Linked DNA regions of Arabidopsis thaliana. The protein of the gene in region 1 purifies or fractionates together with the protein of each later gene. This does not show direct contact. Each region holds a gene or a part of one and is shown on either strand. Other genes may lie near its edges.

Region 1 (5,223 bases):
AAGAAGAAGGGATAAGGCTTTTAGGGGTTTTTGGGTGAAGAAGATGATTTTGAGAGTGGAGATAAGATGCAGTGTCTTTGGTATTTATGGGGCAAATGAATAAATATATTAAGTTCTTTGCACAAATATCTCAAACTTATTTTATTTTGTAATTTTACCTCAAACTATTTTTTAGGCTCAATATTCTGATTTCTGTTTTTTTTGTAAGAATTTTTATTTTCTTTGCAACTATTTGTTTCCACATAAATGATAGGAATTATTTTATTTTTCGCTTGTTTAGTAGTAATATACAAAAAATTTAATACATGTCGCAAATTGTTTCGTTTTGCATTTTAGTATGCTTATTGTATTTACTTTTCTAAATATTTTTTGTGATAAAGTTATGTGCTTTTCTCACTTAAATTAGTTGTGTTTGGTTGTGATTTTATTGGGACAGTCTACTAACTACTTGTCATAATATGAAGTGTGATGATAGATGAGATGAGATCTGGACCGTCGAATTTTGGATGGACAGTGGAGATGGCACGTCTCATGCTGAAGCTAAAAATCTATGAGAAGATAAGATATTTTACTAACAGCCAATGGAAGATGCAACTCTTGTTCCAAACACAAATCTTCGAAAAAAATCTTTTACGTATTTAACGTTTTCAAGAGGTTAAGAAACTAAATCAGGAACGATACAATTCCTACCAAAAAGAAAACACAGAATGATCATACAAACGCGTCCTTCAAAACAAGTTTCAAAAAAGGATTTATTTGGAGAAGATAACTGAAGTTGTTGACTTGACTTGAACCAACAATGAAAGGAGAATAACTTAAGAAAGAATCACTTTGTCAAGTTTCTATAGAGAAACATTGTTTTGTTTCTTGATTCCTTGTCCCTTCTTGATCATTCTAGAAAGAACATCAGCTTGCTTTGTGTTCCCTTCTTGGTTCAAGCTTTTGATCAGTTCATCAGAGCTCTTCCAATCTGTTGAACTTCCTTTCTCCATGATCTTACAAAGAACTGAGTACGCATTCAGAGTCTTCCCAGCTCCTAAAAGCGCATCCAACACTTTGTCGTAGCTCGAAAACTCTAAGCTGAGATCTCTCTCCAACCCGAAATCTAACAGCTTCAATGCTGCAATCGTCTTCCCTTTCTCGCTTAAGACAGATAAGAGGCTGTCCAGATCAGCTGTGTGTCCGTTTTGGTTCAGAAGATCTATACGCCCCAGGGCTTCTTCTACGTGTCCTCTCATTAAGAGGGCTTCCAAGATCTTGGCAATCAAATCCATGTTGTCTTCGATACCAACGTTTTTATCTATCATGATCATCATCACACGGCTTGCTGTCTGCACCCTACCATCCTCGAACAAACTCTCAATCACTGACCTGAAAAGCGATGAGTCTGGGACATGCCCGTCTTCGACCATGCTGTCCAGTGCGGTTTTCGCGTCTCCAGGCTCACCTTTGCTCATGTAGCTCTTGATGAGCAGCTCATATGCGTTTGATTCTCTAGGGACACCTCTCCTCGACATTATCTTCAGAATCTCGTAACTAGAGTCTGGGTTTCCTTCCTTTGCATGACCACGGATTAGATTGTTTAAGGCATCTTGGTCTTGGACACCTCTTTTCATCAGCTGCCTGAAAAGCACTTCTGCTTTTGCCGTTTGGCCATTGTTGCACAAATACTCGATTATTGGGTTGTAAGCGCTGGGCTCCATTTCCAGAGTATCCTGATGCCTCAATATGATTTCTTTCTCAATAAGCGTATCTAAAAGCTTGATAGCACGATTGTATGCACTAGCCTTGCATTGGTTCTCAATCAAAACCCCATAGTGTCCCGCCTCTGCTGGAACATTCAGTGTAGCCATGGCTTTGAGCACCTCAGTGGCTGCCGCCATATCCCCTGCTTTGCTCTGAGACACCAAAAGCTTAAGAAAGATCGAGTTATCTTTTGGAGCAATGTGTTTCGCCATCATATTCTTCAAGATATTCTTAGCCTCCACCATTTTCCCTGCATCACACAGACCAGGCAACAACGTCGAATACGTAGTAGCATTAGGCTCAATACCAGAAGATCTCATCTCCTCAAAGATTCTCAACCCATCATCAACTCGGTCCACCGCAAGATATCCTTTAATCATCGTGGTGTAACTCACAACACTAGGCCCAATCTTATTCCCTTTCATCTCCACAAACAACTTCTCTGCCTCATCCATCTTCTTAAACCGGCAGAACCCATTGATCATAGTATTAAACGTAGCATCATCCGGCGAGATCCCTCTAGTTTTCATATCTTCAAAGAACCTCAGAGCAGTCTCTAACCTCAAAGACAAAAAGAACCCCCACAGCATTAGATTATAAGTATGCCTCGTTGGCTCAACACCCTCACTAACCATCTTATTGAAATACCGTTTCGCCATCATATACCTACCACGCCTCAAAATCACCTTAAACAAACTATTATACGACTTAATCGTCCTCTCCACACCCAAATCCTTCATCTTCTGAAAGATTTTAACAGACTCTTGAACAATCCCAGCTTTTCCATAACTCTCAATAAGCACCACAAACATATCCTCATCCCAAGGAACACCCTTTTCAGGCATATCCAATAAAATACACCTAGCATGATTAAGCTTCGAAACCTCTCCAAGCATCTTAATCATTTTCATATGTGTATCTCTATCATGACGAATCAATCCAGATCTCTCCGTCCACCGGAAAAATTGAAGAGCATGCTCAAGTTTCTTAGCACCGTGCAATACATTATAGACTAAAGAATGATCCCATTCAGGTACAAGATCTCGGATTGAGTTCTGTAAACGAGTCGTCCAAGCACGATTATCCATCATTCTACATATTGTATCCTCTAGCTTTTCATGGTTTTGACGCTTACCTCGTTGGAACCTCTCTCTGAGTGGTCTCGTCTCTGTAGAAGTCAGATTCTTCTTCGTCTCGGATTTTGCATCTGGAGATTGGGTTTCTGGGTTTGCGTTTGCTGGAGTTTGGGTTTCTTCGATGGTGCTGAATAGACGAGGGAGTGAGAAGAGAGATGAGTTTGATGATCTGGGAAGCGAGAGATAAACCCTAGCTTTTGATTGGTAGCGTTTAGATCTGGAAATGAAAGCCATTACAGGAAATGGAACCTTTGTCTCTGAGTTTTTCTGAAAATTTTCAATTCGACATGGAAGGACAAAGGAAGCAAGAGTTTTTAGTGATGAGTAGGGTTTTAGTTTAGGGAAGAAATGGAGTCCTGGATCCAAATCTTGTTCCGGGTCGGGTATTTTCTGAACTTGAACCCGGCCTGTTAAGTGTTACTATCCAGCCCGGTTTCGTGCATAACAGATGGGCCTAGAATCGTATCTAGTGTTGACCAACATGTAATTTCCACACTGTTATCTATAATTTATTTGTTTTTATTAATGTTTAAAGTTCTTATGAGGAATAACAAACATGTATAAAGTAATTTGAAATGTAACCTTAAACAAATGTTGGATGGTGATAGGAGATGCCTAAGCTGACATATTTTGTGGGACTTCAAGATAGTAATCTATAGTCTTACCTTTGATCAACTATGTTATCATATCAATAGAGACAAAATTGTTTCGATAACTGGATTATGTGAATTTGATGTACATCTTTATTTGGAAATAAAAATATATATCTTCTAGCAAGGGCCACACTTATCCTTCGCTGATCTCGACTCATAAGTCATAATGATCATCAAAAATCAAGAAACAATGATCATTACTTTCGGTCTACGACTTGTCTTTTTTTCTTTCCCTACCTATATATCAAATGTGGTCGTTGTGATTGTGGTAATGGTGTTTTATGGATTTAGTTGAGTATCCGGGCATAGCAGTGTCGTTACTGTTTTTTAAATATCTATTTTTCGATTGCGATTCTTTCAACTCTTCAAGCACAACACGCTTTAAGGATCTCTTCAACAGGCGGGTCATCACCGGCTTCTTTGTCCTGAAATCCGCAAACAAATTGTTGAAAACAACAATGTGTTTGAAAAGATATATCGGTATACTAGGTTCCCAAATATGAGGCTAGTTTCACAATCAAGATTAGACGAAAGAGATTACCTTGCGTATATAAGAGATGTTATCTTTCCCAGGGCCAGCAACTAAGATTCCGCCTTGTTGCCTGCACAAGGTCCGTGACAATAGTTGTTAAGAAAAACGGAAAGTAATCTCATCGATCTCTAACCAGAAGGAATGAATGATTCATATACTCTTAAACTTACCAGCCGCCTCTTTCAACTGTATCTTTCATAAACGAGAGTTTCCAGTCTTGGCGGTATCCTTCCATGTAAGACTCTAGTATCTTCATAGCAGCCTATAATAATGCCACAGAAGCTACTGAGAGTCTGAGACCACAAAAGCAGAACATTTTGGTTACCTAATTATAATATGCTAAGTAGAAGTCACTCTACTTTGGGTGTAAATGTAACAGAAACCCCTGAAACGAACTCAAGCGCCTCGTATGATGCGTGGTTTGGATCCGCATAGACCTCTGTATTGAGAGAAAGTTGATTACAGATAATTAGATCATCTCATAAAAGGAACTACTCACCAGGCTTTTTTAGTAATCAAGAGAAAACATACCTCCTTTAAACTTAGTCTGTTCCACAAAAGTATTAGCCTGCATACATAGATGGTCATAACGTGAGAAGCAGCAGCTTAAAACTGCTTACGCTTACAAAAATTGCGTATTCAAAATGTTGTTTACCTGATCGATGCTTCCCGGTCCGATCAGAACAAGAGCAACACCAGATGCATCCATCACATCCTAAACAAAAATCTCAAAGGTATCACTCAATGACTTCAATTGTGTATAAATGGCCAATCTTTTTAAACCAAAGATCATTCTGTTACCTTCTTTTCTGCAAGATAAGCTGCTCGTTTCCGACAGAGCACACATCTGAAAACATAACAAGCAATCTTAGATAGTTACACATAGTCATAAACCAGAATCATCAAATATAATGAGAAAATTACCCAAAATGACGAGCAAATGCAACAACGGCCTTCCTATCTTTCCATAAATCAGAAATCGGAATCTCATTTCCTCTCAAATCCAAGACTTTCACTGTATCTAGCGAATCAGCTGTACCTTTCCCTATTCCAGCTCCTGTGGAGAATCAATATAATCTAGTAAGTAATCTAGAATCTCCGTATTCAATATAATATAGAAAGAGAAGACACTTAAGCTCACCGGAAGAAGCTCCGG
Region 2 (5,523 bases), on another chromosome or scaffold:
AAGAGATTTTGATCTGGTTCAAGTTTTAATTTAGTGTGGGATATTGTGGTCCAAGTGCAACTCGAAACAGTTCCTATTGGTTGATTTGATAATTGTAGATCATGAACAAAGAGATAAGAAAGAAAAATATCAAAAGTTTGACAAAAACATAACAAAAAATAGCAAAACAAATATTTAGAGAACTTCTAAATTCTACTACATTCGATCGATTTCATATATTTTACTGGTCCGACGTTCAAAATACATTAGAAATGTTTAGATCGTATACAAATTTAAATAGCACAAAACTTTATTAAATACGTACGTGTAGGTATAATTGGAGTTCGATGCATGTACTACACAGTAGACATTATAAGACATTTTGAAACCGTAGACGTAGACATGAATCCTCAATAGTCTTTATCGTCGCGACATACTTCAGAAAAGTCGTAAAAGATTGTTTTTTCCGACCAAGATCAAATCACCGGAAGTATACATGTATTCAAACTAAATCTCGAATAATTGTAAGTGGGAGGAGGTAAAGAATTCAAAGGTTGGGATAAAAGAATGGGTCTATTCAATGATTTTATATGGTTGATGAAAAATAAAATCCAACCTAAAAATTAAAAAATTAAGCGAACGTGGGATTGGGATAATGTTGAGGAGGAGACAACGATAAAGAACAGTGAGTGGCTACAGATTCTGCGTCGACCATTCCAGGAGACATCATCTTTTATTAGTGTTTTTTTTTTAATATCATGGGTGGTGATTTGTCTTTTTATTTTATATGTTTGTTTGAATATATTAGCAAAAATGAAATAACCTAAAATACCAAACATTAAATGCTTATGGTGACCAAGGTAAGTTGGGCCACAAAACAAATTATAAACCCAAAATTAGAATTGCAAGTCACCATCGACGCTTCCGATCCACACCACCAACGTTTCCAAACTAGAGTCATGTGGTTTCACTACGCTTCCAAAACACCTCATTTTTGGAATCACGTTTGCTTACCGGCTTTGAGACATGCTATGCGCCTCTCCTTCCGCTTCTGTTTCCGCTTCGACCTCCGCTTCTGGTTCGCGGGCGAGTAACGCATCACCTCCGTTGATATAATGCTTCCTAGACAAAAACAAACATACTTTTATTTTAGCTTTGCCAAACGCACCACAACTTTTAACATACCACAACAAATTAGGACAAGATTCTCTAAATCATCTTTCAATTCGTTTCAAACGATGAAGGAACCTTCTTAAACATAACAGAGAATTCTAATACAAGATCATGATTCTATTAAAACAACACTGTGTCTTATGATTTATTTGAACCTCACTGATAAAGTTAGAGAGAGCTAAACGAAAAACAAAAGCTACCCATCTTATTCTATTCAACTTAAGATCAAACAGAAGCAAAATCAGAATCAAACAAGAACCCACAGGAGACATAACATTCCCATCCTGATATAACCATTGATGGAGTCTAGATCTTACGGCGACGTAGTGGGGTTTCACGCTTAACATAGACCTTCTCCATTTCGTTGAGTGGTCGGCTTGATCCATCTGGAAGACTCATAAACTTCCAGCCACCTCCGGCTCCACGTTTGCCCTTAGCACCCAATTTCTCAACCGTGATTTTCCATCCCTCTGATGAACGTCTCCTGCTGTACTTGTGGCACATCACTTCTCCTCTCCACTGGTTTAGAGAGCAAAAGGTAAAGTAACGTTTGTTATCACCAAGGAGAAATGACCAAAGAACGTCTAATAACTCAGCAAGAACTCAAGCAGGAACGCTGATGTTATATATCAATCAAAAGGCGTGGATCTATTCAAACCAATAACCTTTTAAACAATCCACAAGCAAGTTGCAATACCATTATTACTTTCAATCTTTCAAGGTTATTTTACAAGTTACCAAATTTAGAATAGAGGGTTCCAAACTTGCATCTAGTCTCAAGTTTTCCTTCTAAGTTGCAAGCAGGTCACTTGATAATTAACATATGGATGGGAAAATGTCTCAATAGACCAAATGTAGTAATGGTTTACTAAGTCAATGCATACTCAAGTGGGCAAAAGAAGGGCCTTACTTTCATTTTGTTGAACTCAAACCTTCGGACAAATTCTTCGTAAAGCATGTCATCCTCTTTCTTTGAGATCTCATAATGGACTTCATCCATATCTTTGATTGTACCATCCCATCCTTCTGGCATGACCTTGAAGTCGGGTTTGTAATTAAGTGAGGCCACATGAAATTCCCGGTCATGCGAAATGAAGAACCTGTATACCAATATCAAAATGAGGGTTAAAGGAAGACGAAGCCACATAATCCGCAACCTATTCAAGTTTGCATCATGATCGTTCACTAACAATGCTAGATCCAACTACCTTAACTATTTTGGCTATAAAGAAGACTAAATAAAAGAGAGTACACACAGTTACTCCATTTCAATTCATGTAAAACTGAAGTAACATTATACCAAGGTATAGAAATACTAGTCCATGTAAAGTAACTTACTCAGGGTACTCATCAAGCAAACGGTCAACAGAATCATCCAAAGGACGACCAAGCTTCCTCTCCTCTTCTTCTTCATCTTCTTTAAGAAAAAGAATGGCGTGAACACGCTGCCTCATAATCCTATAATCCTTAGCAAGCCTCTCAATAGTATACACCTCAGGATTCTCTTTGTGCAATCTATACATCTCAGTCTTCTCAGAGTCCTTAAGATAAGACCCTCTAGCACCTGGCTCTTTAACTTGCTTCAACAACACACTGATCTCCATCATTCTCTGTTTAATCCCATCAACAAAAGCCCTGCCTTGCCTATTATCTTGCTCAATCTCTTTAAGCAAATCATCATACTCATTCATTTCATTAACCAAAGCTACCTCCTTTGGACCCAATTTGCTCATTACATCACCCGAATCAGAAGGGGTGTTATCAGAAGAAGGATTCGCCGCGTTCTTCTGACGACCAACGGAGACACCATCGAAATGCTCCTTAGTTAAACCAGTAGACCACATAGATTTATTGTCCCAATCAAGATCAGCAGATCCTGTACCACCAAATGATCCTCCTGTTGAAATATTCCAGCCGTTATCATCGCCTCCAACTCCATCAGATCCTGATTTTGCAGAAAATGCTCGATTCGTAGCAGATTGTAAGATTTTTGATGAAGCGTTCTCAAGTAGAAACCCAGATGCTCTCGTGCTAGGGTTAAGTGAAACCGAGGAGAAACGATAAATGATCCTACTAAGGTTATACATTGCTACTGATTCTTCAAATCAAACGTTGAATCGCACGAACGCTGAAACAAAATCGAAAGAGAAGATCTAGTAACTTACCCAATAAACAACTAAAACACACAGACAAAAAGTTCGAATTTTGATTACATGAAGATAAGGTAGAGCGAGTTACCCAAGGAAGATGAGAAGTCGAAGCTCCGATTAATCGGAATTAATGGCGTGAAGGGAGTCACGATAGAGACCAACGGAGGCCAGTTACGACTGCGATAAAGGAAAGGGAAGGGTTTTGAGAATTAGCGAAGAGTTTGTATTTATGTTTTAACCCCTATATTTCTTTATTTATTTTAAATATCACCTTATAGTTGTTTTGCTTTAGTTATGCTCACTTCCTTTTGTATCTTGACTTTTTATTTGTTACAATTTAAACCCAGAATCCACTGATGAGTCTGTGTATGTGGAACAGAAATTATATAGACTTTTGCAATTACGCACGATCTAGACTTGAAGCAATTTTTAAACTGATGAATGTTTTAATGACATAGACAAATAATGATGAATCACAGGTAGGATTTTATAGTACTCCTACTTTGTATTATACATCAAAAACATTTGTTTGTAGTGAATCTTATGAATGGACTTTGCAAGAATATGAACCATATCACAAAAGTCTTACTAAATTTGAATCCCAATGACCTCAACAATAAGAACATCGTTTAGTCTATGACTTCGACATGATTAAATCTAAACCGATCACAAAGAAGAATAACCCTAGAAATTAGAAAAGCACACAAAAGAAGAAAACCCTCACACAACTAAAACAACCCTCTAAAAAAAAGCACTCCTTTAAGCTCCCTTCCTTTCTACACAAGAAAACTTTCTGACTTTGATCAGAGAATTGCTCAACCACTATGAGATTGGCTCCTAGTATCGCCTGAATCATCATCATCATCACCACCATCTTCGTCTTCATGTTCTTCTTTGTGAGTAGTACCAGTGTTCATATTCCCGTATCCATGATAGGCCGGTGTGAAATTGTTCATAGTTGAATTGTCGTTTTGGAAAGAAGAAGGCATTTGAGCCATCGGTCTCACTATACCACCACCATAAGCTTGTGGTTTCTGCTCCTCTACGGTGTTCACCGAAGGAGAAGTTGAATTCACGGTTGTTATGGTAAAAGTAGGAGGTTGTTGTTGTTGCAGTTGTGGTGGTGCTTGTGGTTGTGGTGGAGCAAAAGCCTCCATAACTCTAGGTTTCTTCTTCTGATTTTGTTCTGCTTGATGCATCACAATGAAACTTCCCATTACCACCTGTCACATATTATAAGACTTTAGAGTTTTCTATACTCCTGAATCTGTAAATATGTTTCATTCATGTAATCAAATCGTGTCACCTGAACAGGACCAGCTGCTATAAGCATACCGGCAAGGCCACCACCAAATATATTGCCATTTGGTCCGGCTAAAGAAATGCTCATCCCACCAGCCCGACCTTTTGTTCCTCCATTTTCAGTAGGCATAAAGGAACCAGATAGCGATAGTATCTCAAACCGACCCTTAGAAAAGAAAAAACACATAACAGTTTTACTCGATATATATTTCAAAACGAGGTACTAACGAAATTTGATTCAATGTTTTGTTACCTCATATGTAAGAGTGCCACCTGCATTGGTAGGTTGACCAAGAGTGACATTAGAGATCGAACCAGTTGCAGAAAGAATGCAGATAGCTCGAGATCCTTGTTGCGAATACGGCATAACCTTCATTGTCACATCCTGATCAAAACAAGAAATTCTCAAACAAAGACTGATAGAATTTAATACCAAAGCTTGAGTTACAAGCACCGTGTTGAAGAAAGAAAACAAAAGAATCCTCTGTGGGAAATTTATTACCTCACCGCCATTGACAGTAAATTGATGGGTCGTAAAATTTGCACCCACATAGCATGAGAGCCCAGGAAGAGGAGGAGTAGGAGCTGCAAGAGATAGTAAAACAGAGTTTGCATTAGTCTAATCAGCTAATTAATTAATCCTAATCCTCAAGCAACTAACTCCATGATTCAAAACAAAGACCAACTAATAATCTAAATCTCTTTTTATTCACACAGTAATTAAAACAGATAATGAGAAATCGTAAGATCTGCTAAACAACTTATAATCACAACTAGACATACTTATCTTCTAAGATAAAAAGGAAGAGACAGAGATTATTCTGTCTTTGTATTTTTTTTTTTAAAGACAAAATCTTCTTTTTATTTCTGTTTTTGTTTGGTCAGCATCAGCAGATTCCCTTTCTCTGTCTCTAACTGG

The links.
Region 2: the proteins of AT2G37230 (region 1) and GCD1 fractionate together in Arabidopsis thaliana (co-fractionation; one large-scale study listed by BioGRID). This does not show direct contact.

Annotation. Positions count from the first base shown.
Region 1 is NC_003071.7:15,636,335-15,641,557, forward strand, and holds AT2G37230 (Tetratricopeptide repeat (TPR)-like superfamily protein), read right to left. Parts: upstream 3,435-5,223; 5' UTR 3,117-3,434; coding exon 843-3,116; 3' UTR 563-842; downstream 1-562. Other genes in the region: AT2G37240 (Thioredoxin superfamily protein), read right to left, coding at 3,901-3,960, 4,077-4,137, 4,238-4,329, 4,427-4,506, 4,599-4,635, 4,723-4,782, 4,869-4,914, 4,992-5,124 and 1 more.
Region 2 is NC_003076.8:25,009,943-25,015,465, reverse strand, and holds GCD1 (ribosomal protein L20), read right to left. Parts: upstream 3,510-5,523; 5' UTR 3,391-3,509; intron 3,281-3,390; 5' UTR 3,240-3,280; coding exon 2,491-3,239; intron 2,253-2,490; coding exon 2,063-2,252; intron 1,672-2,062; coding exon 1,470-1,671; coding exon of another isoform or gene 1,459-1,469; exon of another isoform or gene 1,102-1,458; coding exon 980-1,101; 3' UTR 654-979; downstream 1-653. Other genes in the region: AT5G62260 (AT hook motif DNA-binding family protein), read right to left, coding at 4,118-4,525, 4,609-4,770, 4,858-4,989, 5,107-5,189. UniProt on the Arabidopsis thaliana protein: Essential for fertility (male and female gametophyte functions and development). Required for the integrity of female gametic mitochondria. Modulates male gametophyte functions, including pollen tube growth and style penetration.